Linked DNA regions of Schizosaccharomyces pombe. Changing the gene in region 3 together with the main gene of any one other region gives a genetic interaction. Each region holds a gene or a part of one and is shown on either strand. Other genes may lie near its edges.

What was found.
Region 1: of scs22 (region 3) and rtn1, changing one suppresses a phenotype caused by changing the other (phenotypic suppression), as found in Schizosaccharomyces pombe (one study listed by BioGRID).
Region 2: of scs22 (region 3) and tts1, changing one suppresses a phenotype caused by changing the other (phenotypic suppression), as found in Schizosaccharomyces pombe (one study listed by BioGRID).
Region 4: of scs22 (region 3) and yop1, changing one suppresses a phenotype caused by changing the other (phenotypic suppression), as found in Schizosaccharomyces pombe (one study listed by BioGRID).

Annotation. Positions count from the first base shown.
Region 1 is NC_003423.3:1,260,547-1,267,990, forward strand, and holds rtn1 (reticulon Rtn1), read right to left. Parts: upstream 3,059-7,444; coding exon 2,132-3,058; 3' UTR 1,752-2,131; downstream 1-1,751. Other genes in the region: AP-3 adaptor complex subunit Apm3, read right to left, coding at 1-9, 54-94; protein dbl7, read right to left, coding at 473-1,294. UniProt on the Schizosaccharomyces pombe protein: Required for the correct positioning of the cellular division plane by delimiting the actomyosin ring assembly at the cell equator. Overexpression causes cell lysis.
Region 2 is NC_003423.3:4,366,108-4,373,069, forward strand, and holds tts1 (tetra-spanning protein 1), read left to right. Parts: upstream 1-2,234; 5' UTR 2,235-2,281; coding exon 2,282-2,341; intron 2,342-2,440; exon of another isoform or gene 2,441-2,527; coding exon 2,528-3,307; 3' UTR 3,308-3,709; downstream 3,710-6,962. Other genes in the region: arg41 (argininosuccinate lyase), read right to left, coding at 1-660; COG complex subunit Cog3, read left to right, coding at 3,893-3,961, 4,004-4,405, 4,456-4,626, 4,667-4,804, 4,860-5,090, 5,134-5,670, 5,712-6,371; acb1 (acyl-coenzyme A binding protein), read left to right, coding at 6,810-6,887, 6,945-6,962. UniProt on the Schizosaccharomyces pombe protein: Required for the correct positioning of the cellular division plane by delimiting the actomyosin ring assembly at the cell equator.
Region 3 is NC_003424.3:4,475,082-4,483,390, reverse strand, and holds scs22 (VAMP/synaptobrevin-associated protein family protein), read left to right. Parts: upstream 1-3,439; 5' UTR 3,440-3,479; coding exon 3,480-3,669; exon of another isoform or gene 3,670-3,841; intron 3,842-3,898; coding exon 3,899-4,014; intron 4,015-4,095; coding exon 4,096-4,749; 3' UTR 4,750-4,752; downstream 4,753-8,309. Other genes in the region: G-protein-coupled receptor Stm1, read left to right, coding at 616-1,431; SPOM_SPAC17C9.11C (zf-C2H2 type zinc finger protein/UBA domain protein), read right to left, coding at 1,461-1,498, 1,657-2,233, 2,379-2,486; nuclear proteasome tethering factor Cut8, read right to left, coding at 4,753-5,541; protein Pex19, read left to right, coding at 6,681-6,774, 6,917-7,521; protein dhm2, read right to left, coding at 7,817-8,101. UniProt on the Schizosaccharomyces pombe protein: Vesicle-associated membrane protein-associated protein (VAP) implicated in maintaining the cortical endoplasmic reticulum (ER)-plasma membrane (PM) attachment.
Region 4 is NC_003421.2:2,193,561-2,200,927, reverse strand, and holds yop1 (ER membrane protein DP1/Yop1), read left to right. Parts: upstream 1-3,727; 5' UTR 3,728-3,815; coding exon 3,816-3,866; intron 3,867-3,999; coding exon 4,000-4,282; intron 4,283-4,405; coding exon 4,406-4,620; 3' UTR 4,621-5,135; downstream 5,136-7,367. Other genes in the region: Rnase P/MRP subunit Pop5, read left to right, coding at 1,235-1,654; DNAJ domain-containing protein Psi1, read left to right, coding at 5,836-6,975. UniProt on the Schizosaccharomyces pombe protein: Required to generate and maintain the structure of the tubular endoplasmic reticulum network and the vacuole. Induces high curvature in membranes and causes membrane tubule formation. Involved in membrane/vesicle trafficking.

The DNA.
Region 1 (7,444 bases), on a different chromosome or scaffold from region 3:
AGTAACGCCCTAGTCAACTTGATTAATAAAGTAAATAAACAGCTAACGCATACCCATTAGTGTCTACAAGATATATTGCTTCTATTGTGCTCATTCAAAAGTTTTATGAAAGGAGCGGTTGGTTGGTGATGAATACGTATGAAGGTAAATGGATTAAGAAGGTCTTCTAGTGTACAGGAAAGGGTAACCATAGATGTCCTTTCTCAATCTTTTTAAAGCCTAATTTATAAACAATTTAAGTAATTAATAGTAATTAAGCCATGCTACTGTTGACATGCTAAACCGTTTAAATGGGTTGCTAAAAGGTACGCAGGAACCTCAGGTTGAAAAATTAATTAGATTAAACAGAAAACCACCTTTCATAAATGTCGTAGATTAAGATACTTGTAAAAAATATATATATATGACAAATAAATATATCACAATGAACTTTACGCTTTGTGTAAATATAGCAAAAAGCATTATATATGAATCAGCAAGGATGTATGTGTACTTGATGCCCATTTTTGGTAAATTTACACAAAGGTAAAGTAAGAGATAGAGAGCTACTATTGTCTACATCAGTATTAGAACGTTTTAGAAGTAAAACTGTGCATTTTTCCTCATTTTTTTCAGCTTCAACTAGATATATGTCAGAGAGAAATCGATCGAGAACTTTAATGGAAGAAAGTTGCACAAGCTCAGTTTCAGATGAACGATGAACACGATTGATATATCTCTTCTCGAGATCTTTTGTGCACTGGAAAAGTGATTTTTGTTTACTAGATGCAGGGGAAGACACGCTAGAACTCAAGAATGACGGTTTAGATGGTGGAGTACCCATGTGATGAATAGAATATTTAGCCAGATGTGTTGAAATAGGCGACTTCATCTTGGCGTTTTTTATTCTCTGAGATTCTGGAGACAGGTAGCGCAATGCTCTAGGGCTTGACTGACCGATATTGGTAATTTTAGTCGGAGATGTTGGAAGCTCTACGTTGTATGTAGAGCTAGCAAATGGTTTTTGAGAGGAGCTTTGAGGATGTCGAGCAGGCTTTCTTTCATCCTCTGATGAAGAAGAAAATTCATCAATGTCTTCATCCAAACCCCGACGCTTTCTGACTAGATTGGAAGACTTGCCATTGAACGATTGATCCTCAACATCTTCAATTGCTTCCATAGACAGCGCCATTCTATGAAGTTTCTCCTTTTTCGCGGAATTAAATCCAAAAGCTTTGCTACCTGCTGAAGCTGAGGTAGCTTCATTTTGAGATGCGCTTTTTCGAGGATTGTATTTGACTTTCTTGGAACTCATGTATAATAGCGTTGCGGCATGATAAATTGACAATAAATTGAATTTCAATAATCCTAATATATGGATACAAAGGAAATTTTGAGCTTAAACGTAAAAAGCTGGCACAACATTGATATAAGTGAATGACTTGTGGTGAGAGCAGACAACGATCATGCGAGTGTAATCAGCACTTTACTGTATGATCGGCTGTATTAAATACGAAGTAGTGGAAAAAAAATAATAATTTTTGGTTAACAAATACTTTAGTCATTTGGTTAAACAAAATAGATTTTTTCGTCCACAGACCCATTTTAGTTATGGAAAATATATATATATATTTTTTTTTTCGAAAAGAGCAGCAATAAGGAATACGAGGAGGACCTACAAAACAACACGGAGTAATTACGAGATTAAATTACGAATAATAAGTACGTTGGGTATTAAACGAAGCAGAGAAAATATAATAAAATAGCATCATATTGAGCAAAGCAACAAGAACTTCAACCACACTGCAATAGTTTGCAACTCAGAAGAGAAATGAGAGATTGAGCCGAACCTGTTACATTTACAATATATCGAGATGAGAAAGACGTATTTATGAAAATAAACACTCATAGTCATAAGCAAAATAATTGAGAAAACGCATTCAATCTCCTAATTCAAGTCATAATACAACACTTTTGAAACGCAACACAACACAGCAACACATTTTCAAAGTTGAAAACAAAACCATGGTTATTACCCTTGCATTTTTTTGCAAAAGATACTATTGAAACCTTAAAATAAACGAGGAAGCGAACCAAATAAAAATCAAGCGCAACCTGACAGAAACAATCAAACAAATTATCCCGCAGAGGTTTACTTGTTAACAGTGGTGTTTATAGTCTCAGTAGCTTGCTTTTTAAGTTTATCACCAGATCTCTCAAGGGAAGCAACCAAATGCTTGATAGAGCGCTCATTGCATACATACAATCTGGGAAGGATGAAGGCAAACAAAACATTCCAAACAAAGAGAGACTTGTAGGAAAGGAAGCCACTAAGGAAAAACTCAATAAAAGCAGCAACAGAGGCAGTAAAGGTCAAAATAGGGCTCTCAGCAAACAAGATACGTTGGAATTGAATCAACATAACGTTGAAAATGTCGACAATTGAGTTGACAATCCTATCAAGAGCCTTGGAGTCGCAGGTGATGTAGGAGGAACGGAAGTGAGACAAGACACCACGCTTACCGTTGGAAGCGAAAAGACCACCGAATTCAATGATGGAGGTAATCAAAAAGACATAACGGAAAGTTCTGAAAAAGAGGCGAGGAAGATTGATCCAAGAAGGGACATAAACGAGAGCAAGAATACTCATCAAGGTAGAGAAACTGCAAGAGGTGTTCTTCCAAGTCAACACAGACCACAAAGCATTAGAGATCTCAGGATCGACGTTTTGCTTAGTAGTGTTGGTAAAAGGGCAACCGGCCTCCAAAGCAGGGCATTTTTTGTCGGCACCTCCGTGAGCGCCGGAAACTGGGCAGACGGGACTGCTTGTCTCGCCAGGTGTGGATTGAGAGGTGTGGTGGGGCTCGGAAGAGGAAGAAGAGATGTTTTGAATAACGGGATTCTCAGAGTTGGGGAGAGCAGAGGGAAATGAAGTGGCAGAGGGCAATTCGGTGGAAGGGTGAACGGTGTGAGCAGTCAAAGTATTTACAAGGTCCTCAGCACCGGATTTAGCAGCGGCGACATCGGAAGCAGTGACGGAACCGGATTCAAAGGGGTTTAATGAATGTTGTTCAGACATGATTTGCGTGTTATATTCAATTTTAAAATAACAACTTAAGGTAAAACAGTTACTAAGAATCAAAAGAAGCCTTAAAAAAAAAGAGAAACCTTTTAAACTAAAAAAGGGTGCAAGTGTTTTTTTTTTAAGATATAGTAAAAAATAGAGAAAATTTAAAGAAAACTAATTCTGAAAAGTGCCGACTAAAGAAAATAGCTAGTAAAGGACGACTTTTCGGAAGAGCGAAATACTTTGTAACAAAGACTTAAAAAAGTGAATAAAAGATTTTTGGATTTTGCTGTAGGATAAATAAAATGTATATGTATTAAATCCAAAGCCAAGTTCCAAAAGGGTTAACTTTTAAGGGAGATATTGATCGAAAGAAAAAATAAAAGTAGAATGGGTAAATACAAAAAGAGACCTTCACGAGTTGTTGAGAGGAAAGTCAATATGTTTCACTTACGAAACTGTTAGAAAGTTGTTAGTTGGAAAGCTTTGCTTTTATATGGTAAAAGTCAAGTCGGTGGTTGGTGGTTAGATAGCAGTCATAGCGTTGATCATGGAATGACGTTGTTCTTGGCTCAATAAGTCTGTGTCAGCGGCGACTATAGCGATCATGCTTATAATCGGTTTACAGCAGGCTAATGAAAGAGAATTTTGGATGGTAAAAGAAAAACGAAGAATAGGAAGAAGATGGGCGGGAAAAGATGGGTTAAATGGTATGAAAAGATGGGTGAAATGGTATGAAAAAGAAGGAAATGAATAGAGAAACAATGAAAATGGATGAAAAACGAAAGAACGAGCGAAAACGGATGACTTTTGCAAAAGCTAGAGATATTGAAAAAAGAGTAAATAAAGGGAAAACAATGATTAAGTGCAGGAAAGGCTACAAGAGGCGAAAAAAAAGTGAGAAATAGATAAATAAATTCGTGTAGGATAGTTTGTTGAAAGGAGAGCGAAGTATGGAGTTTGATTGTAAAATGTAAAGGAGAAAGGGATAAGAGTGATGAAAAGGAAAAGGATACAACTGAATAAAGAAAGGATTAAAGATTGAAAAAGGAAAGGAATAGTAACGGTGAGAAATGATGAATCATCCACAAGTGAGTAAAACACGAAGAAATTTGTTGTTTAAAAAATTATTTAATATTTGAGGAATTGAAATCAATTAAAACTTTGAAGAAACAAAATTCATTCAAACTTCTGAAGCCTTTTTTTTTTTTTTTTTTTTTTTTGGAAATTTTTTTGACAAAAAATTTATTTCTTAAGAATCAAAGCAAATGTATTTCAAAAAAAAATATATATATATATATGATGAAATAAATAAGACCATACCTTTTCTACATTTAGTAATTGATTTATTTCAGTTTACGTTAATTAATTTAATGTAATTTTATTTCGAATTTTTTATTTTTTTTATTTTTTCACGAATTGAATTGAATTGAATAGATTTTCTTTTTATAATTTAATTTTTTTTGTACAAATCAGTTTGTATTGAAATTCTTCATCATCTCATTATGCGTTGTGTGTCTGTTTATTTACACCCACTTAAAAATTGCAAGCATACCGTATGATGAACAAGAAGGCTTTTCTTGCCTTTTCGTGAAAAGGGAGGGAGAAAGAGAAAACGTATTTAATAAATTGGACATCTCATCGTATGCTAGTATATGAAATTATGAATTGAAATGAAATGTATGGAATTGCATTGCGCTGGACTGAATTGCATAGAAGTGGACTGCATTGCATAGAAGTGAATTACATTGTACTGAAAGAATTGTGTTGTATCGTATTCAAAGTAATGATGTATCATCCTTTCCTCTTTCCTCTCTACTCTACTCTACTGAAACGGTCGGGTTCTTCTCTCCTTTAGCAAATCCTTTACTGCACTCTGCTGTACGGTCTTGTTCCACAGTATGATGTTTAATGAATTGTTGGACAAATCTCGTTACCATCACCAGCATGAGCTGGTCGCGACTGCCGCTTATCGGATGGGATGAGATGGGAGTATGGCATCGGTACATGTATAAGGCAAGGGAGTGCAGTACGAAAAAGAAGGATTACGAAGGAGGAAAAAGGGGAAACGAAAAGAGCAAAAAGTAAAATTAGACACAGCAAGAATGCTTAGCTAGTCAAATGGGTCAAATATGGAAAGAGATGGAAATTTTCTGAATAACGAGGAAAGGGGTGAAAGAATTTGTTTCGGTATGTGATATAGAGAGAAGGAGAGAAGTGCAAGGAAAGCCAAAGAAATGCAAGGAAAGTCAAGGAGAGTAAAACAAGGTGAAAGAAGAGAAAAAGAGTACTATGGATCAGTGAGAGTGAAAGAGGTTTATTGAAAGGGAGCAAAGTGCGGTATATGGTGGAAGAAGGTAGAACGAGAGAGACAGATGGGCAGAGTGGGAGCAGTAAAAGCTTTAAGGTTATTTAGGGATTGTTGTAGCGGGACAAGAGAGAAAGCAAAGGAGGAAATGAAAAGCAACAGATAATAGGAATAAAAAGGATGAATAGGAATGAAAAATAAAATAAAATTAAAGTAAATAAAAAGTGAAGTAAAACAAAATAAAATGGTTAATGAAATCTATTTGTAATCAATTCTCGTTCAACCATTTTTTCTGAATTCATTCATTTTTTGTTTTATTTGTGTACTATCGTGTGGAAGTATAGAAAAAAAAGTAGGAAATGGTTTTATTGATGATAGAAAAAAATATTAAAAAAAAAAAAAAAGAATTAAATAGTATTAATTTATGCATCATATACAAAATGAGTCTGATAAATTTGTTTACAGTGAATTTTCATTTCAAATTTTTTATTTATTTATTTATTTATTTTTTTTATTATATTCAAGAATATATTTCATTTAGAATTTTTATTGTTTTTACATATTTACTACTGAAGTTTCATTTCTTTCTTAGTTGGTTTCTTTTTCATTTCTTTCTAATTTTTACTTTATTTATTTACTTTATATTTTCTATTTATTTATTTTTTATTTTTTATTTTTATTTTCATTTATTTTTTACTTTTTCCTCCTCTTTCCATTCCTCTCCTTCTTCTTCTCTCTCTTCTCTTCTCTCTCTCCCTTCCTGCCTCTCGCTGCTCTCCTATCACTCTTTTCTGCCGGTCTCGTCTCGATACTCGTTACCCGAAAAAACTCGGCTGGTATGTTACTTGCAAACTGCCGTCTACCAATCAGCATCGTCGCTTCTTTATGGGTCACAAAGGTGTGCTGGCATACTGGATGCATACAAAACGTTATCCAACACTCTTAAAGTTGTGCAATGCGCCATGCAATATTCGCTTACCGAACATACGCTGGACTACCATACATAATGGATGGAAACTTGCTTTAAGGTATGTGCATGGCGAGACGAGAGGTGGGAGAGAGAGAGAGAGAGAGAGAGTAATGATAGAGAAAGACAAAGAGAGAGAAATAGATAGAGTGGTAGAATTAACACAAAGAGGAATGACACACACACACACACACAGAGTAGTGATTAAGACACAAAAAGTAAAAATCGACAGTTCCAACTTACAGCTCACTACACTAAACTACCTGCACAATCAAACCCATTTTACCGCTGGTGATGCTCAACTTCTGTAATGCCTAATGCCCTACCCCTACCTCTGTAATGCTTCTTCCTCTGTAATCCACTTCCGCTGTAATCCGCTGCTGTCATGACGATTTTTCGACAAAACAAAACATTCATTCGTCTACCTCCTCCGTCAACATTCGTCTACATTTCTCTGCCACCCGTCATCATGATTCACCCTTCCACCTGCTGCTTACCTTAATTTCCTTTCTACCGTCCTTTGCATACCGTCGCCGATGCTGCTGCTGGCTCTACTGTCTGCCTCCTCTATTCACGGTAGTCAAGAAGGAAAATTTCCTCTTCTCCTTCCCGGCTCTTGTCGTCACAAATCAACCCTATTGCTATTGTGGATTTCTTCCATCCTGCCACGTTTCCATGTAATGGATTGTAATGAATTGCATTGTAATGGGTTTATGATGCGTTATGTTGGTAAGTAGAGGGTTTTTCATCCTTCTTATCTGTTGTCTATGCTGTCCATGCTTTGTTTACTTTTTTTTTTATTTCTTTTCGCAAAAAGTATGAAAGCACAGAGAGAAAGAAAAGAAACGAAAACAATAGAGGAAAAGAAACGAAATTACTTTAAAAAGCGAAATAGAAAAAACGGAATAACAAAAACCAAATAGTTTGGAAAGAAATACTAAAACAAGAAAATAAAAACTATTGAAATGAAAAGACAAAAAAAAAAACAGGATTCAATGCTACCATAAGCAAAACAAAAGCATCTTGACAACAAATGTCCAACGAATCAATTTTTTTTTTTGGTTTATTATTTGTTTCTAGTCTATAATCAATCAACCTTCAAAAAGCCCATCCATTCTTTCAT
Region 2 (6,962 bases), on a different chromosome or scaffold from region 3:
AAGTTCCTTTTGTAAGAACTTACGATCTACGGCGAAAGGATTACCAGCAAGTGCACCAGCGCCTAAAGGGAGTCGGTTGACTCTAGAATAAATTTGTTTCAAGCGATCCAAGTCATTTAATATAGAAAAGGCATGAGACAATAAGAAATGGGACCAGCGAATAGGCTGGGCTCTTTGCAAATGAGTGTAACCGGGCATAATGATATCAAGGTCAGACTCTGCACGAGCAACAAAAACTTGGAGTAACCCAACTAAAGATTTTTGGATGATGTCCAACTCATCACGTAGCCAAAGGCGCATATCGGTCGTAACTTGATCGTTGCGACTTCTTCCTGTATGAAGCTTACCAGCAATGCCTGTACCAATTATTTCTCCCAATCTGCGCTCGTTAGCAGTATGGATATCTTCGTCAGAAGGTTGAAGAGTGAATTTATTTGTCTTCCATTCATCTCGGACAGCCTCTAAACCATCTAACATTTTATCCAATTCATCAGCACTAATGATTCCGCGTTGTTCTAATGCCTTAGCATAAGCTTTCGAGCCATCAATGTCGGCATTGAACATGCGCTTGTCATAATGAATAGACTCATTATAAGCTGTCATCAAGGGATCAGTGGCGCCAGTAAATCTACCGCCCCAAAGTTTTTGTGAAGAAGCCATTCAGAATTGTTAAAACAGAGTCAGTTTTTCAAGTTTTCAACCAACGCAAAAAGGAGGTAGTACTACTTAAAATTTAATTTATCTAATCTTTTGAGAGTATGGCTATATGACCGTGTAACCTCTTCCTTATCGCAACCTATTGTTATATCACATTAACGATACGGCGATAGATATGAAATTGATATTATAATCGCTATAATAAGATCTAACGTATTGGAACGTATAAACACTTAATAAATGTTTACATTCCGCTTCGTTATTTCTTTCCTTAAGTTTACAAAAGATATCATATATGGAAGCTTTGGTTGGAATCTTACTGTATAAATGTACTCAACCTGAATGATTTGTTTTGTCTTTCTGATTTATTAACTCAGAGCTACCAAAGAATTTCGCGAGCATTAGCTTAGATTTAAGAAAATTGACTGTTATAAAGATTGAGAATTCTTAAAAGATTTTCTTGTTAGTTGTGATTGTTTTTTCGATTTTTATTAGAACGATATTTATAGATGCCTGAAAACTCATTGGTAGATAAGTATTGTTTTCTCGTTTTTACTAGTGTCTGATCAGACTAAACTGGTTTAAACATTATGATGCATCTTCCGCCCAATTTCTTTTAAGATAGCTAACGAAAATCAATTAAAATAAACATGGACCAACCGAGTTTATGAATCCACCAAATATAGTGGGATTATAAAGAAGAAGAAAATCAACGAAGAATAAAGTGATAACAGTACATGATTTTCCTTTTCCCTCTTTACTTTCGTCTCTTACTGCCTTAAATTATACACTGCATTTCAAATTGTCAACTATATTATTGATTTCTTTTGGCATGAACACATATAGGGCGTATTACTTCGACAGTCTAACATTTACTTATACCAAGCTTCTCAAAATTCGTTTATAGTACTCGTCTTCGCCAACAAATAACTTAACAATTTACGTATGGATATGTTGTTAACAGAACGTCTGGACTCAAAACGGAATCCACAAAGTGTTATCTTCGAGAATACTCTAGAGCCAGTTTAGATCTTGCTAGTTATTTTTAAATAGAAGTTATTGAAGGTTGCCGAGCAATACAAGTGTGATATAGTAATGTTGAATCTGAACCATTTATTGTCCACTAGTAAATGTGCAAGAATTAATCCATTTATTGTTTCCATGTAAAACATAGAACAGATAGCGTAACAAACAACATCGTACTTTAGCATTTCACTTTGAAAAATTTTAGTCAGAGCTTCTTGTACATTGTTATCAAGGGTCGTAAATGAATTATGTTAGCTTTCTGGAGTGTCTGCTAGACTTAAACAATTGGATTTTAGAAAACTAAAGAGTGTAGCCCCTATTTAAATCTATTTAATTGTAATAGCTTGAATGCTACTCAAAGGCGTAAATCCTTTTTTAAGCGCTTATATTCCTGCTAAAAGAATTCTAGTCAAAACGTGTACTAGCGTATTTCACAGAAGTTCCATAGGTTTTCTTTTTCTGATGTAGGAAAATTTAGGATCTTCCATTGGTAAGCGTACATTGTACTCTATCACAACTATTACAACATACTTTTTGCTGGATATTAACTTAACAAAAGCCACATCTTTAAAACTTTGAAAATAACAACTTTGCTATAATGGAGCCAAAACAACGAGTTGTCAAGCCTTTAAAAGAAAGGGTTTTACCTGTTGTCAAGGTAAATATATCTATCATGTGTAAATCAGATAATAAATGTTGATTATAAGAAAAGTTTCTTATTTAGTTCCATAACGTAACTGTAATCTATTACTAAAACATAGACTAATTTGTCAGCATTATTTTATTTTGATTCAGTGTCATATTGTCTTCACTCTTTTAATACATTACTAACCGTTTATTATAGAACACCCAGTTTGTTTGGTTTTCGGGGCAAGTAATAGTGCTAATCTCTTCCGTCTTGTATGCTCTTCAAGCAATCCCTTTTCGTTCCGCTCCTCCATTTTTGTTTAAAAGCGCTGCCTTTGGTGCCATCGTTGCATATGCAATTGTCCTTTACAAAACTTATAGTCCAAACTTGACTTCCCGTGCTTCTTGGAATAAGCATTTCTTTGCCCGTCTTATGCTCGATGACAATGTTCAGTATTTTATTTTAGCTCTTTCAATGTTGATTGATCGTCCCATCCTATTTTCTCTCGCTCCATATGCCATTTACGCCACTTTCCACATCTCCACTTACTTGCGTAGTGTGCTTTTGCCTGCCATTTACCCTAATATTTCTGACGCGAAAACTGCGTCTTATGCTTCTCGTGTTTCTAATTTGCTAAATCAGTACACTCGAAGCCAATTTCAACCTGCTATGCAACTTGTTGCTTCTCTCGAAACATTTTTATTGTTCCGTTTGTTCTTTGGGGTTTTCTTACGTAAAAACTCAATTTCCAGGTTGGTGGGCTATATTTTCTTTCTTCGCATGAGATACACTAATAGTCACTTTACTCGTGCATCCATTAAAGCCGTTAGCCTTCGAATGGATCGTTTGGTTGCAGATAACAGAGTTCCTCCTGTTATCAAAAATGCTTGGCATACATTCAAAACTTATGTGTCCAAGTTCGGTGCTTCACCTGTAGGTACTGCTCAAAGCCGTCCCACTGCATCAAGCTCTACCACTGCTCCCTCATCTACTTAAAGTGATGCCTTATTCCTTTTGATTGCTAGAGATTTATATAAATTTCACCAATCAGTGTGATTTTAATATGTCTAAGTGCTCCTGGTTTTTGAGTTCTTTACTATTAACGAGTAGTTTCTATTTCACCCAAGTAAATTTTGAATGTTCATACCGTTTACCTCTTTCTCTAAAAACTTGTTTGAGATAATTCCGTTTATTTATTTTTGCTCACTACTCCTCTATTTCAGTTATCTTTGTTTGGGGGGTCTCCTCAGACTTTAGTTTAGCTTTTTTCAAGGAAATTGAAATATGGATATATGTTGTTTATCCAAAAACTCTTTGAGTATTAAAAGATTAAGAGGTAAAAATAATACGTTTTATTGAATTTTGTAGCACAATAAACACATGTATAGCAGCGCACTCTTGAAATCTAGCAAGTTATTAGTTTACATTGGATAAAATACCAGTTTCAATTGAATTTATGTGATGTTAATGCGTTTTGTTTCTTAGCATCTGCGCAAAGTAACGTAGCGCTGTGTTATGGTTCACTGGGAAACACCAACAAAGTGCTCGATGTTTTTCTGATTATCGTAATTATTTTGAACGATGTTTGATCAGTTGGAGTTTTATCCTGCTGTCAACTATGAGGATAATGAAACTCAAAATGATATAAAAGTAAGCTTAGATAAATGTTTTTACAAGGGCTTACCCAATTAGCTACCCGAAGTCGCCAAACTTGAAAATATCGAAACAGTGCATTCCATTTCTAAGGAAAGACGCGACTCTTTAACGGAAATTTTAAATGATTCTTCAAGCTTACCGGCACGTCCGTTTTCTCTGCCTAATCCCAATAATTCAACCGTAGAAAAGCAGTCGTTATTTCCATTTGAAGAAAAGATGAACCCCATATGGATAATTTCTAGACCTACTTTCTCTATTGAGCAAGACGCGGAAAAAAAAATTAATGAACTTCAAACGTTTACAAACATTATTGATCAGATATTGGGTCAGACTAATAACATTGAGTCAACATTGTTATCAATGAAAGAAAAGTTTGAAAGTTCTGAAAAAAAGCTGAGTGAATTCTCTGAAATGTGTGAGAACCTTAGTACAGATGAGGTATTAGGAGCGTGCTGCATACCACTTATCATTACTAACACCTTGAACAGATGCGGTTTTCCGAAATAGCCGATGGCATAAGAAAAGGATTAACAATTTTTGCTCCTTTGAAAGAGCTTACTCGAGTTTTTCGGCATCCACCTCCTGACTTTGCTGGCAAAGTTTCCTTTAAAGAGCACATTACTCAATTAAATACTTGCATCATGTTCCTTGAAGAAAATGTACGAAATTCCATGTTTTTTATTTTAGCTGACTTTTTAGTTGGATTTTCAAGAAAGTCCGCATTACCTTGGTCAATACAAGAAACTGCTATCTCAAGCGATGGATATATTTAAACCGTATTTTATACGGATAATTAAACAAACTACTGATCAAGTGCTAAAGGATTCCAAAAAAATGGTAGGCATATACTTTTGGGCGTTTTTGTTTTCCCCAATCATTAACAACTATTTAGGATGTTCACAAACAGCTTCATAGTTCACTCTTCTACGCCCGATTTAGTGCTGTAGGTCATAACCTTTGCCCCACTATCACTGAATTATGTAAATTATGCTCTAAAGAAAGTTTAGATGCTTTTCTTCCTGCTTTTTATGATGTCTATTTTCAATGCCGCACGCGGCTTCTGAAACCTGTACTGGATTATCATTTGAAAAGTTTTTTTATGGAGAAATCCATTTCAAGCTATGTATGTTTAACGAAACATATATAATTAACTAATGATACCGTAGATCCAAAAATCACTTGCTCTTTTACAACTTACTTTTTTTGATGAAAATAAGTTATTCCGTGAAATTCTTATCATGGATGATTTTCGATTTATGCATTATTGGAATAATCTTTGTCAAAGCTTTTTTGAAAATAGTCGTTCATTAATTTTGCATGAAAAAAACCTTACCGAACTTTGCGAGGTGTGTTCTTATATCCAATCATTTCAAAACGCCATTTTAGAAGGGGAAAGGGAGGACGTTGATAAAAAGGTCGTTGAATTTCTTAATCCTCTTGTACTTGAGTTGCAAGAGCGTCTTTTATTTGTGGTACAAACTGCCATTGAAACCGATATTCAACGATATTCCCCTACGGAAGAAGATTTAAATCCTATTGCAGATGACAAAAGTTTGCTCTTCGACTTAGAAAAGTTACGCTTGAATAATGATGAAGAAAAGCTAGACCCCGATGTTCCACAAAAACTTGCTATGGCTCAAGGCTGGTATCCGGTAGTACAAAAATCTTTAATTATTTTGTCGAAAATCTATCGATTGGTGAATGTACGTGTTTCATTTAGACTTTATCCATTAACAGTTTTTAGTCTCAAGTATTTGACGAGATAGCCCTTGAACTCGTGCACTCCTGCATTCGTTCCTTGGTAGATGCGTACCGCTATTTTAGCCGGAACAATGATAAGCAGTTAGCAAGGCTTTTTCTAATCAAAAATTTTTTGGTTTTAAAAGACCAGTTGAACTCATTCGATATACATTATGCTTGTATTGAAGCTGGCGTTGATCTGCGAAAAGTATGGGATAGTGTTCGTGAATGGCGTTCTAACTTGAGAGGCGTCTTACAACTTGTTTACGAAACGTTTCCTAAATTTATTACAAATGCCGTAGATACCAGGCAGGAACTTAACCAGCAGTTACGTGTAGCAGTAAATGGGTATATCGAAACTGCAGTTATACATTACACGGAATGCTTAAGTATCGGAAACCTCGAAAGCATAACCGAGTTTCAAAATCGAATTCAAAAGTTTCCTGAGTTGAGACAGCAAATCTCACTCTACCTTTCAGAAACGTGGATCATCGAACTGTTTTTGCAGGCTATTCGAGAAGAAGTTGTCAGTAAATTTCAAAATTTTTACGAATCAATAGTTGCAAATGAAGATATTACAGGAAGTGACCACAATAAGAGTGGAACAACTTCGTTAAAGCATTTAAATGAATACGTTGAAGATATTTACTCCGTTATGAGTTGAATATTTAATACGTTGATGACCCGACTAGATTTTGAAAACATATTTCATACTTATTTTTTGCATAGTTTAATCAAGTTGAAGAAATTTACCGTTTTAAAAATCGTTTCAAAATTATAAATGTATTTCTATTTGACATTTTGTATGCTGTGCATTTAATTTTTTTTTTTATTTATAAACCACTGGTAAGTATCGGTATATAAAAACAATTTCTTTTCTTCTTCGTAAATATAGTGAAAATTCAATTGGGGATTATATAGTATTGTCGATATTAGACCGAGCAACTTCTTGTCATATTTAACAAATGTAAATATATTATATTATGATATGCAAAACCTGAGTATTGCAAAGTCTGTGGGTTCGAACTCTGTAGGTCGGATAATATATATGTATATATATAATGGATGTCAATAATCACACGGTCTTTAACCTGCAACAACCATGTCTTCTACTTTCGAGCAAGCTGCCGCTGACGTTAAAGAATTAAAGGAAACTCCTAACAGTGATGAATTATTAAAGGTATTTTTTTCTTAACCCCCTTTTTTTGTAGCTTAGCTTACTAATTTGTTGTACTAGCTTTACGCATTATTTAAG
Region 3 (8,309 bases):
CGCTTACTATTCCTTTATATTTCTTTAGAATGATACCTTTGGATTGACTATCAATTGTATCTGTAAATCCACGGACACTTTCTTAATTCTGCGAAACTGCATGGGCGGCAAATTTTTCTTATCTTGAAATCTCTATATAGCCTTGCCCGAGGTAAATAAATAACAGGACGGCTGGGAGGTTGATCTTATCCAGAGCCAAACTCACCACCAAATCTCTTCTGTTTCTTTACAGTGGGAGAAATATTGTTTACCATTGTTATTATTATTATTATAGATATTCCTTTTAGTGTTTATTTTTTAAAACAAAAAAAAATACTTGTAACGAATTTTCATTAAGTATCATCTCTTGGATCGCTAAAATAAATCAGCGAATATTATAGTGCTGAAGCATTACACGTTCGAGGAAGTTGACAAATTTTAATAATTGCTTATCATTCCTATTAAATTAATAGTTTGATTTCCCTTTCAGGTTGCTTCGCTTTTGTAGCCCTTTGTTTCCCGTTCTTTTTATTTATTGTCCTCCACACTCATATAAAAAACTTTGACCATAAAAAGCTTAGACAAGCTCTTCTCAAATTCATTTTAAAATTATCTGTTCGCAAGCATTTTTGTCCCATGTCTGTGATAGCTCCTTCTTTTGATATGGCTAACATACTCACGGAGTTGTCTTCATTTTTAGGAGCATTATCCCTGGGATGTTGGGTCGTTTTACTGATCCCTCAATTACTTGAAAATTATAAAAACCAGTCTGGTGAAAGTATCTCTGATTTATTTTTAATCATCTGGCTTATTGGCGATTTCTTCAATGTACTTGGTTCCATTTACGGAAATGTCTCTTCTACTGTATTGGTTCTCTCATTTTATTACATTGTCTCTGACAGTACCCTACTTATGCAAATTTACTACTATCGTTGGAAAGCTGCCCGTCGTATTGCCAGTCGTGAACACGAACCCTTACTCCAAAGTCGTTCATTAGAAGAAGGTCTTCATGCACCCATTGGTAAACAACAAATTTGGTGGGATCGCCTTTCTACCCGTCAACAATTTGGTGTAATGGGATGTGTGGTTATTGTCTCGACAATCGTTGGAAACTTAATTATTTCTAGTGCCTCTTCTGACAAGAGTGATGATGACTTGAATGCATGGCCGTTTACTGCCGGTTGTATCAGTTCTGTGTTATACTTCTGTGCTCGTATTCCTCAAATCATCAAGAATCACAAAGCAAAGTCTACCGAAGGATTATCCATTATCTTTTTTGTGTTGGCCTCTGTAGGAAACACTTCATACGCTTTCAGCATTCTCGTATTTCCCGCCTCCGATTACTTAAACTACACATATGCTAACCTGCCTTGGATACTTGGCGCGTTCAGCACCATCTTCCTTGATATATATATCTTCTACCAGTTTATCAAGTATCGTAATCATTATTAACACAGCATAATTATCAAAAGGTCATAACTTTACCATTGCGGAATAAGAACGGCTGAGGGAAACAAATCTATGCAAGCGTTAATAATATATTCCATGTCTATAGTTCAAAGTTTTCAGAGGAAACAAAGATATGTCGTTTAGATGCTAGTAGCAACACAATATTCTTTCAAAAACATGTATTCTAATGTCACACATGATGACAGTAAACACTAGTTTGATACTTACCAAGTTGGTTAACCGGTTTATCAAATACATCAGTGCCGTATGAGGCACGGGGAAAGGTAGTGGTAAACTTAGTTGGCGGTGACACGTTCATTTTCTCAGCGACCTGTTGTGCCAATTGGCGTAGCGTCTCCTCAGCTGCAATAGTTATATTACAAACTTGACCATCGTGTCGGATAGAAAATCTGCCTGATGTAGGAGGGGTGCGAGTACAAGTAGAAGACGAATTGGCATTTTTAGGCTGCTTGATGGGAGCAGCCGTTTCTTTTACAGAAGAATTCTTATTTTCCCGTTCTGCAGCTCGTCGTTTTTTATCGCGTTCAATTTCTGCGAGGATTTTCTTACGCTGCTCAGCATCTTCAGCCTTTTGTTGACGGATCTTTTGCAAGTCACGTAAGCGGGCTTGATCCTGCATCTTTCTCATAGCCTGTGCAGTTTCATCATTGGATTTTTGAAGGATTTTATAATTTGTCTTCTTCTCTTCCAGAGCCAAAATCCTTTCTTTTTCCTTTTTCTCCTTTGCTTTCTCTCTTAAAGCTTCAATAGCTTGTTTTAACTCTTCGGGAGAACGCTTCTTAATCTATGTTTTATAATCGTTGTTAATAAAAAGAAAGGATCGAGTGAAACAAATTATTGTTTTCGTGAATTATAATAATAAGGATGGTTAACAATTCGAACGCTTCAACCATTCAGCAAAAAGTAAAAGGAGTAAAATCTATACATACCTCTTCTTCAGTTTCCTCAAATTGATCATGACTGGTTTTGGTACTATGAAATTCAGCCATTTCGATGGAGGAAAGCAATTTATCGCATTCCAAACATTTCAAAACCATTTTTGTGTAGAGTTTGTAGTTGCAAAAGGCAAATTACAATGACGCTCAAAAATAGCCCTACGTTCCATCGACTCAACATCTAACGTGCTAATATCTACAATATCGTATTACCAAACATCGCAGTTGAGAGCATTATAAATTTGTTGGTCATTGAAATAGAAATGACAGGTCAAATGAAACAAAATAATTGTAGTTACCACCGATTACGCTATGAATTAGAAGAATAAATGATTGTATATATTGCACGACATCCGCAGACCGATGATTGAAAATGATTACTGACTTTCGTGATCCTGTAGTTGGCATCCACTCGAGTAATTCGTTTCCTTTATACATGGTATGCTTTCTAAAGCATCGCTGATATTCCTTGAAATAAAAATGTTGATTTTTCCCTAGCATAATGACCATTAACGAAAGTATACAATATCTATTTAATGATTGTCTAAACCAAAAAACGTATTTCCTTTGAATAGAAAGTGTAAACGAATGCGCAATTTTTTTTTGAAATCATAATGTTTACTTCATCCTTGCATTCTTAAGTTGTAATTAAGACAATTCAAACGCATTAACATGACATTTAGAAATTAAAAAGGATAACTTGAATCATCCTTTTTGGGTATTTATATCATTTATTAATTTCACAAACAATAAATCCATATACTTATTGGGATTTTATAACCATACTGCATTCGTACATTATTCACCTACTGCAAAATATTTTTTAGCATATATTACTTTTTACTTTCAAAATATCACATTTATTTTAATAATATCGTTATAAGGCTTTGTATAATATCGATGAAAACAGTTACTTGAATAATTATCTCCTTTTATTTCAGTATCCATATATTACCATAATCTTTGCTCAGCCTCGGAAAATCACACACAAGTATGTGTGACGTAAAGCCACGATTTTTGGCTACACTGCGAAATGGTACTTCGCAGAGTAAAGTAGTACCACCTCTCGCAACAAACTCGCCTTTCCCGTAAATCATGGCTCTTGAATGTGATAGTACAATTGTGTTTCCTCGACCACTTACACGACTAGTAAAATGTGATTTAGAACTTCGCAATACTGCACCTTATCCGATCGGATTCAAAGTGAAAACTACTGCTCCTAAACAGTACTGTGTGAGACCCAACGGTGGTCGAATTGAAGCCAATTCGGCTGTAAGTGTTGAAGGTAAGATAATTTATATTTAATTTTGAACCTCATTTGCATTTTTTGATTTTATTCGTTTAAGCGGTTCCCATCATTGATGTTGTCGGGTGGAACAAAAACGTTGTCATCAACGTGATTTTCTTTTGCAAACTAACAGTTTTTATTGTTTTTGTGCGTGCACTGGAAGATAATTTGTGCTCATTAGTTATTGCTGTAAATTTTCATTTACTAACTTCTTTTTTTTTAATAGTTATCCTACAGCCTCTAGATCACGAACCGGCTCCTGGCACAAAATGCCGCGATAAATTTTTGGTCCAGAGCACTGAATTGAAGCCAGAATTACAGGGAATGGATATAGCAGATATTGTATGTGATAAAAGATATACTTACATTTACTTTTTTAATACATGCCATACATAATTGATGTTCTAACCAATACTTTAATAGTGGACTCAAGTCAGCAAGGCTAATATATCGGAACGAAAAATTCGATGTGTTTATAGTGAAGGCCCCAGTACTGCAAATGCTCATGCTAATGCTCACCATCAACCAGCTCAAACAACGACTACATCTATTCCTACTTCTGCCACTGACAATTATACCACAGTAAATGGTAATGTTAATCAATCTTACTCTAAAGGAATAGACGGAACGGCACTTCCTTCGACCCATGCAAATCCCGTAGCTGCTCCATCTACAGCTACTACACAGCATACCCAGCTTCCTAAAACATCTGCAGTTTCTCACCAGAAGCCCCATGAAGCCCCATCTACTGCCGTAAAAGCTCCTACTGCAACAGTCGCTGAAAATGAACCTTACCCAAAGCCTCAGTCAGTGCCTACTACCACTTCTCCTAACAATGAAAATAATGCATTAAGATCTACCGCTAATGTAATTAATAACACAAGACAATCAACAGCTACGAGTCCATCTATGTTCGCTGGAAACAGTGGAAATCAAATAGGACTTGCACGCGTTTCATCGTCTTTTGGGCGTCCGACTAGTGGTGCCAAGGTTGTTCCTCAAATTCATAACACAGTTACTGTGCAAACCGCTTTCCTATTAGCCATTATATGTTTCCTTATAGGCCTTCTGTTCTAGTTTTTAAATATATTGATGCATACTGTGCCAACCCATTCCATTGTCATTCCCAATGTTCATACTATTAGTATGACGATGAAAATTGTTTTGTGGATTTGTTTGTTGAAAAGTATGACTTCTTTCATGTACAAGTGGCTCATTTTTTTGTAATTGCTTAAGGTAATTTAATGCCTCTTCCATTCTGTTTTGTGATGTTTTATTGTGCTCTTCCAACTCTTCCAAAGGTAGTAAAGGGACTACAGGCCGATCCTCAAGTTGTCTTAAAACAACAAGCCACGCGCCCGTTAATTCATAGTACGCTTGACTTTTATAAACATTATGGTTGGGATTATGGAATTCTGGCAGTTCGTGGACAACGTTTGTAGCGGCATCAAGAAAAGTAATATTTTTCTCAAAACAAGTAGAGTATGGAGGTAAATAACAAGGAACCATATCATTAAGCGCATGTAAGACAGCCATGTACTTTTCACGAATTCTATTAAATGCGTAATCACCCCTCTTGTCACCACCATAGGGAAATGAGTCATTCAAGTTAATTAAAAGTTTACGCAACGTTTCAACACAAGTATCCATGGACGGCGCCGGTAATATGCCCCGTATATCACGTGCGAGATCAGGATGCTTTTCTACACATTGTAATAAAATTGTAAAAAGCTGTTGTTTGTCTGAATATTGTAGCAGTCTCGACAATGGCAGTTGCTCACCCACAGGTAGTTGACGAGCACGCTTAGAAATGTCTTCGTCAAAATCAGCTTTGCGTTTCTTAATCTGAGAATAAGATAAGGTCTCCATGAATTAAGGAAATGAACAGTAACAACAAATAAAGATACCAACTTCAAACGTGAAATCGTCTGATTAATTATAACAAAGAAAATGAAAATTACAAAGAAATGGATATTCCAAAAGAAAGAGGAAAAAATTTCAAAAGTAGTAACAATAAAACAAAGATAGAGGATACTTTGTTAATGAGCTTCCTTTTTTAAAAGCCGGAAGGATGGCTATTGCTCAGTGTATCGACTTATGAAAGCTAGCAATTTAATTTTTTTCTCAGCCCAAATGAAATAAAACCGTCGATTATAATTTCTATATTACAAGAAGCTCTATTGCCCGCAATACCAGCTCAATTAGAACCTCGATTTCTTAAAAAAGATAATGGAAAATGGTAAGAACAATTTAGTGGCTCAAGAGTTTTCTTCTCATGAGACGTTACCAAACTATTACTTAATTCCTTAATTTGTTTACTGAAAAAATTACATTTTATTTAATATAATGTCACCGCAGCTGAGTGTCAAGCCTACAATAATATGTTAACGCAGTACAGAAAATCGTTAAGTTGGAAGAGCAAAATAATAATTTTTTTCGAAGTAATTGTGCGTATGGATCAATGTTATAGTCAATAACTATTTAACTAATTGTTGTTGGTAAACAGTAGTCAATTCTAACTTATTGGTGATGCTAAAAATGAAAACAAAGCTTCATTTCAACTGATCATAGGCAAGTAATAAAAGCAGGGGGTAGACTTTACGTTCTTGTGTCGACGATTTTATGATCGTTAATTTCGTACTCGATTCATACCAGATACACAAACAATGAATAATTAAAACGATTCATACATCCAGTAAATAAAAAAAATTCCATTAAATTTGTTGTTTGAAGATTTAAAATTGCGTCAAATTTGAAACCAAATAACGCATCTTAATGCACTTGAACGTTTTCACGCTGATATACTTTGATAAACAACGATCACTACGGTTTTACCTACATGAAAAATAATAGAGAAGCACTTTATTATTTTTTTTTGGCAGTTCCAAATTTTCATTTTTTTTGAACTTACTACTTTTTTATTTATTTTGTGAATTACATGATAATTGAACTTGCAAGAGGCTTTTGAAAAACGACAAACGTATGCTGACATCTGATATATAAACGGAATGTCAAATCCAACTATTGAGGGAGACGAAAACCGTAAAGAAAATACAAAAAGCAACACAAAGCCGAATTTTGACGACCTTGATGATTTGGATGGTATGGAACATCGGTAATGTCCTGACTACGATTTGTGTATTACGATATTTCGTTCAAGTGAATTTTGCATTGCATAAATATAAAAAATAATGAGAGGGTAGAAAGGACTTTACATTAAAAGGAAACAACTAACAAAACAAAGATATCCTAGATGATTTAGATGTACCCAGTGCATTTAAGAACGAAGAGAAGAAAAACATAGATGAGCATAAACAAACCGGTAATACATCAAAAGAGAATGAGAGGATAAAGAATGACGATAATTTGAATTCACTTATTCAAGAAATGATGAGCAAATTTGAAGACTTAGGGGGACCGTCTGGCTTGGATGGGAGTCAACTTTCGTCTAGCTTTCAGAATGATCAGTTACTCAATGTTATATTAGAGGATCAGTTTGCAACGGAAAAAGATTCGGATAATGGAGCCGTTAACTATGGTGCTTTAGAGGCTGCCTTAAACTCCCTAATGTCACAAGTTACCAGTAAAGAGATTTTGTATGAACCCCTTAAAGATCTTGAAGCAAACTATCCTAAGTTTTTAAAGAATGCGAAGGAGACAGAGAAGCAAGGTTTTGAAGAACAGTACCAGAAAATTCAGAAATGTATTCAAATTTTTGAGAGTCCCGAATATGATGCTCGTAAAGATGCAGATATCATTTCGAAACTGGTAGAAGAAATACAGGAAAAGCCGCTTCCAGCTCCATTGATTGATAATTCTATGGAAACTGCAGGATGTCCAACCCAGTAAGTGGCTTGACTAAAGGATATGTATCATCGCTGTTATATTATTGAACTTAGGGTTTTGGATTATATATAATTGATTCTTTGTAAAAATTTCCTTATTTTCATTTTCAATTTAGTAACCCACGAACTTAGGTAATTAATTCTTTTGATTGTAACTGCTAAAATATGTTAAGTTGGTTTATATAAAGTTGTTTAGAAGTTTTTAGCTGACATTAGGTCAAGGCGAACCAACGCAAGGCTTTGACAGCAGCAGCAAACGAATAAAATCATAGTGTTATGTTTTCCTTTTTCAGAAATCGTTACAATTGATCAACTTCTTCTTCCAGATCCGATGGTTCAATTGCATAATCTTCAGAGGCATTTTCAAGTTGTTTTTCCCATTCCATATAAGCGCTTTCGTCTATAAATTTATTCATTTCCATGGAACCTCCCCTTTTATGTTCCAAAATCCCCTGTCGCCTTTTAGCTTGTTCATTTTCATTTTGGGCACGTGTAGATTGTCTAAGACGCGTCCACGAATAAATCGTAGGCTTTAGTCGTTCAGGCGAAGCACGATCATATTGATAATGAAAGGAATCACTCATGATGAATTAAAAACCATCTAACTTCTAACAGAAAGTTCGACTGCCCTTTCCATAATAAGCGTTTGTAGCCTTGGATAACTAAGAATGCAGCATTTTGAATGCGATGGAAAAGCTCAATGTAACCTTATTCAATCTTACGCGGCGTACTGTGTTCGGTATGAATTTAAGGGAAAAAGCTATAACGCGGTAAATGCTTTACAATAGTGTT
Region 4 (7,367 bases), on a different chromosome or scaffold from region 3:
TTATTTATTCCCAAAGATCTGGGAAAATTAAAAAAGCTTTCTCAAATTGCAACTTATTAATTTTTATTAATTCCAATTTTAATTGAATTTACATATATTTTTTATTTTCATTTGAGTTGAAAAGTCTTTCCTTTTCAATCCTGCAGTATTTCAAAAATTATTACTCTTAATTTAAATTTTTTTTATCTACCCATGTTTTATTAATATTACATTCTTTACCTACATCCTTTTTATTATGAAGGCCAAAAAAAGTTTACTAAAGTTCCATTTTTTATAGATCATCATACCTATATGAATAAAGATTACATTTCATCAGAATAAATTTAAATTTAATCAATGTTATCCTTTGACTACTAACTACGATAATTATCCCATTGTATATTAATCAGTAGAATGGGAGGAATGCTTTACAACTTCTTCCCATGACAAATTCATATATCAATTGAAGCTAATATTCATGGTCATATATAAAGCAATATCAAGTAGATACAGGGTAACGTTTTCTACTGAATAATCGAGGTGTTAATGCTCTGACTTAGTTCATGATTCCACTGAATGTACGAATGATTTCATTGATTTGTATATTCTGACTGTTCAGGGATAGATACATGCAAGGAACCAAACGATTAATAAAAAAATAATCATTTTATTTAAAATTTATTCATTTTCTGAGGATGTTGAAATTGTTTCTGATAGACCTCTATAACTGTTTGTTCCAAAGGGATTTAAAGTTAAAAAATGAATGTTTACTGTGTCGTAAGCATGATTATCGTGCATTTAGAATTTGCATGTCTTCTAGTCTAATTATAACCAAATACCATTTACTTAATCTTAAACAAATTATCTACCGCTATGGCAATGTAGCAAAAGCAATTAAACATATTGAAATTTACGACTAATTCTAATCGTTCATTGTAAACACCTGTTAGATAATATGATTTTTTCTTTAAATTTCTATTCCATTAAATCTTAAAAGCAATAAATTATAACACAGACGTCTCTATAAACTGTTTTCTGAGAAATTTATTCGTTGAGCAAGTTACATTTCTCTAACCGGTGTGCAATAAGTAGCAACGTTCATACCCACTACGATCCATTTTTGGGCAATTCCATTTCCAGCATTATTTATTCTTGTTATAGCATAACGATAATTTATTATTATTATTTGTCTCAAAGGTCATATTTCAATCAAAATCGCTGATTAAACTACAAAAAATATATATATCGTAAAACTATGGTTCGCTTCAAATCCCGATATTTACTTTTTGAAGTATTATATCCTGAAGCAAAAGAGTTTTTTGACTATCCTACTATCCCTTCTGATAGTTCTATAACTACGTCTAGTCTTTCTAAAATAATTAGAACCATGGTTGCAGAAAATTTCGGTGATGTTGGTATTGGAAAGGTTGCATCTAGTCTAACTGTAAAATATTTTTCACCTAATACATCTACTGGCATTCTGCGGGTCTCAAGACAGCATTTTCGTTTGGCATGGGCCGCATTAGTTTTAATAAGGGAATTATATGGCAAGCCTGTAATAATTCGCGTGGTTCGTGTATCTGGTACAATAAAAAAGGCAGAATTAGCTGCCATTGAACGAAATAAATCAGAAATTCATAACATCTCTCTGATGGATGAACCTATTGAAGTTTAAACCCTCCATCTTTGGCATTTGCTGGGTTCGCAAGTTTTTACTTTGACTTCACCTCTAAAGATCGAACTCAAGACGAAATTTTTTTTATGCCTTCATGTGCTTCAAACTTATATATTGATTCCTTGGTTTCGTTCCAAAACCCAATTGATGCAGTGTGTGCAGAAAGTTGCTGCTGTATCCACCTTATTTCTCATGGGTATATTCATATAAAACTTTAATTCATTAATCCAGAGAGGAGGCATATGTTTACCCATAGCTGTTTAGATTTTGAAATTGAGGATCTGGGAAGATCTAAATAACAAGTATGCTGCATTTCCATTGCCAAGTATGAGTAAACTCTTTAAACTATACAACTATTCAATCGCCAAAAAAAAATTTGATGAACTTGGAGCTATTAAGTTAATACTTTTCTCTTGGAAAATGAGATATCGTCTGTTTTGGGAATACCTTGTTTACTATTTTCATTGTATCATCTGTTAAGCTTGACAACGGCCAAAAAGAGTTGTATCTACGAATGCATACTTTTGCCCATAAAAAAATAAACATTTACGTATTGGAATGAAAAAAATCATTGCAGGTCTCAGTAAACATCTCATGAATGTGTTTTCTTCGTGGGAAGGTACATCCTTAATATATCCCAATGATTCTAAATTTCCAGCAATCGTTATCAATTTTATTTTTTACAGACAAACGAATAATTTATTTAGCTGTTGACGGATGCTATAATTCTATGTCGTTAAAGACTGTATACACTTTACAGTTTGAAAAGTTTGCTTGACATTTACCGGTGCTTCTACAAGGTCTAAAGTAAGAAAGATAAACCAAAACTATTGTCATTACAACAGTTAACAGTAGCCAAAGACAGCTATAATCCCAACAAACATATAAAAATTCCTTAAATTAGGGGATTTTCTCAAGTAACGATTTTAAAAACCAGATAACAATCCTACTGAGTCAAAGAAGCAACCATATCCTTATAACGAAAACATCAGAAATTACTCAAATGATTAACAATATCAATAAACTAATCTATCAATTATTTTCGATGAACATTACTTCTTCTTATCCTTGATTAACAGCTATGTATGCTATTTTATGATATCTTCTCTTGAAAACCCCAAAAAAACAGTCACATTAAGAAGAATATAAAGGGCACTGTGCTTTCTGCTTTTGCATAGTTCTTTCACCTGGAGTGTGCTCATCTAAATAGTAAATAGGTAAGTTTCATCATTTCACAAATGGAGATTTCAGAGGATGCGAAATATATACCCAAATTGTATAGCAAGGATAACGGGGTAATCGTTTTGGTTGCCTTCTTGCAGTGATAAAGCATTTTGTCATAGTTACACTGATGAAATTCTTCATTTGCTTAAAACTTTTTGGTCTTAAGTTTGAAAATTCTTTACTAATTTTGAAATAGATAAAAGAAGCCGTTTTTAACAGTTAGACACCATCCTATTCTTGAGATGGTTTTTTTATTCGATCCACGAGTTTTTGATAATTACCGATACTATAAATTTAATAAGAAATTAAAAATTTACTTTATTAAGTCAAAACTTGTTTACATTTAGTAGTAATTTAATTACAATTGAAAGAGTAATGTTGGTAGTGATATATATCTATGCAGACTTGTATGTAATGTAGACATTCTTTAAATCAGAGAACCGTAAAGTTCGGTTGTCCTCCTTAACTTTAGATAATGCAACCGTACATATTTTGCAGGGCTTGACTTTAGCGAACTGCATAGTCCAGTTGTTCATGGTTTGGTTAAAACAATACAACGTAGCATACTGTGGAAGTAAATCGCTCATTTTTGCTATGGTTTTTTTACTGTTAAATGCTTTGGTAATGAAGTAAATAAACTTAGACAGAAACACAAGATGACTGTTTGATCGGCTGAAAATACATACGGCAATTCTTTTGAAAATCGGATTGTATTTGTACTATACAGTATCGTATTTACTGCGACTTTCCTATGCACTAATTAATATACCACACTGACGGTACGAAGCGAATGCCTGTAATCGTGACGTTGTTCACTACCACCGATAGAATAAATGCAAACTTATCTTTAGCAAACAACTCCCATATTCTAAGACAAATAGTTCGTTCAAAAGAAAAATTATTGAACACTCAGATAATTTAATTAAGCAGTACCAAAATGTCTTTTCAAGTTCGTGTTAAGCAGAATATGCAAGATTTGGATAACAGGGTATGTTAGCAATAAGGCAGGATATCCGATGGAAGCCGCTTTACGCACTCGGCAATATAGGCTATTATTAGTATCTTGTGATTTTAGAAATTATTCTTTCTATTCAAATTTGTTTACTAACTTTTTTTTCCAGTTGGCAGCCTTTCCTCAACTCAACAGTTTGGAAAAAAATTTTGGTGTTAGCAAGCTTTATGTTTTTCTTACTGCAGCTGGTATATATGCCTTGTTCCTTTTCTTGAACTGGGGTGGATTTTTACTGACCAACCTTCTGGCATTCGCGATGCCTGCCTTCTTTAGTATCAATGCTATTGAAACTACTAACAAGGCCGATGACACTCAATGGTTGACCTATTATTTGGTAACTTCATTCCTCAACGTTATTGAGTACTGGTCTCAGCTAATCCTTTACTATGTCCGTAAGTGTTTAAATTTTTTGTATTTAGAGGCGTGATTATAAGATCATTAAGGATCTAATAAATTTTGCTCTCTGCTTTTAAATTTATTTTTTTTATTTACTAACTGGGGATTTTCCTTTTTAGCTGTGTATTGGTTACTCAAGGCTATTTTCTTGATTTGGCTTGCTTTGCCTAAATTCAACGGTGCTACCATTATCTACAGACACTTGATCCGTCCCTATATCACTCCTCATGTGATCCGTATTTGCAAAAGCGTTTCTCGTCAAAATGCCGCTCCTGCGCCCACAGCCTCTTCTTTTGCACATACTACCGCTACTGACATTCCACCCTCTATCTAGAGATTTCTGAACAAAATGTTTGGAATGGACTTGTATTCCATAGAATAGTTATGCTATACTACTCGATGAATGATTGAAAATCATACAACGGTAACGTTGTTTTCTTGTTTTTTCCCATCACAATTGACTATATTTTGGACAATTGCAAATAATTCAGTGTTTCAGAAGCTTTGCCTTTCTGAATCTCTTTCCTCTAGTTCTGATTATTTTTATTGACTGTCAAAAATTTAAAAAAATTTGGCCTTTTATATGCCGCTTTCGGCATGGACCTCGGCAATGTTGAAGGGTTTATACTATATGTATATCGCGTAGTCTTTTTGAGCAGTACAAAATTATAAGGCTGCATGCTTTACCACAGTACCGAAATTGCAATAGACATTTATTTTATGGCAACTATAGTAACTTACACACACATCCCAAAAGCAATAACCAGACTACAGTATACTTACAATGATATACCCATATTCGAAATTGCTGAAAAAAATTCTGAAGATTAATAACAAAGTACTATCTCAAAGTAACTGCCGCTTTGTAGAATTGTAATATAAAAATATCGCAATCAATTTATATTTTGTACAAATACATACAATACGTCTTTCAATAAACAGTTAACCCATTATAGCGTCGTTAAACACAATAATGAACTCTACCACTTTACATTGTGCATTTAAGAAACTTCGTTAAACCACATCAGTTTCTCGCTTATACTCGAAGTTTCTAGCATTACATCATGCCATGGTATATGGTCCGTCCCAGCGGGTACAAAAACATCTACTGTCTTCACACATTTTGTTTCGTTTCCAAACGATATTTAGAGTGTATTGCAACGTTTACATTCCATTAATATTTGGTCGAAAGAATAGTATTTCTTATTGACTTTACATACACTACTTTGGTACTATTTTTCTTGAAAATTCAGGAACATTGTACAATTTGAATTGTAAGGTTTTCTTACGAAATATATATAAAGGAGTTATAACACAAGAAAAGTGGAAAAATAAAACTTTCATTTCGTTTATTCGAGAACAAATAAACCGAAAAAGCTTCGCTTTTGTTTGATTTTTCGTTTCTATTTATTTCTCTTCATTTTTCTCGTTTTTTTGATTCCACCATAACGATTTATATTGTGTTTGTGTTTGATAAAGCATCTACACTCGCACTTTCCTTTTTCATATTTCACACAGATAGAAAAAACAACAATTACTACAAAACATCATGGTAGCAGATACCAAATTATACGATTGTTTGGAGGTCCGCCCCGAGGCCTCTGAGGCAGAGTTAAAGAAGGCATATCGAAAACTTGCACTTAAATACCATCCAGACAAAAATCCTAATGGTGAGAAGAAATTTAAAGAAATTTCTCTTGCTTACGAAGTATTGAGCGATCCCCAGCGCCGTAAGCTTTATGACCAATACGGTATCACAGAAGGGAATGCTGCTCCACCACCACCGGGTGCTGAAGGTGGCCCTGGTGCAGGCTTTGGCGGCTTCCCAGGCGCCGGACCTGGTGGAGCTCGAACATTCCACTTTAATATGGGTGGCCCAGGTGGAGCTCAATTTTTCAGTGCCAGTGATCCGAACGACATTTTTGAAAGAGTATTTGGTCATGCCTTTGCTGGCGGTGGAGGCATGGGCGGAGGAATGGGTGGAATGGGTGGTATGGACGATGATATGGACATGGATGGAGGTTTTGGTACGCGGACTCGTGGAGGTGGTATGCCTGGCGGATTCGCTAATATGTTTGGCGGTGGTGGAGCAGGTCCTCACGCCAGACGTAGCCATCCATCTTTTGGTGGATCCCGTCCTAGTCAACCCCCCGCTCAAAACGAGGTTATCACTCGACCCCTTAACGTGAGCCTGGAGGATCTATTTACCGGATGTACCAAGAAGATGAAAATATCTAGACACATAATTGATGCTTCTGGTCAATCGGTGAAAGCGGACCGAATTTTGGAGATCAAAGTAAAGCCTGGATGGAAAGCTGGCACTAAAATCAAGTTTGCTGGTGAGGGTGATGAGAAACCGGACGGAACTGTTCAAGACATTCAGTTCGTGCTAGCTGAAAAACCTCATCCTGTTTTCACACGCTCTGGTGATGATCTCCGTATGCAAGTAGAGCTATCCTTGAAGGAAGCACTTCTGGGCTTTTCAAAGCAAATTTCAACTATTGATGGAAAGAAGCTTAAAGTATCTTCGTCTTTACCAACTCAACCTGGTTATGAAATTACGTATCCTGGATTCGGTATGCCCTTGCCAAAGAATCCTTCTCAACGTGGTAATATGATCATTGAGTGCAAGGTTAAATTTCCTACCGAACTTACGCCTGCTCAAAAGACTGCTGCAGAAGCCTTTTAAATTGAGTAATCTTTTCCTATCTATGCCCTCATTGCATTTATGACCTTCTTTCAATTCTTTTATAGTTGACTTGTTAGGATGACAACATATATTTTGGGTTTTATGATTCCTGACATTGTTTAGATATGCCGGAATTTGGAAAAGGATCTTGGGGACACAGAGCCAAGATTTCATTCCTCTTTTTTTAAGTCTTTGAGGTTCCTTCTAATCCATTCCTAACCTTTTTCTTTACGTTAACAAAGATAATGCAGTTGATGCATTTGCAACGAAATTGCCGTTGAGTTGCATGCTATTGTAATTATTTGGTAATGTCTTGGCGATTTAAAATCGCTTATCGATGAGAAGAGCTCAAATGAAAGTTCTTAATCTAATGACTTTAAAAACTATATATG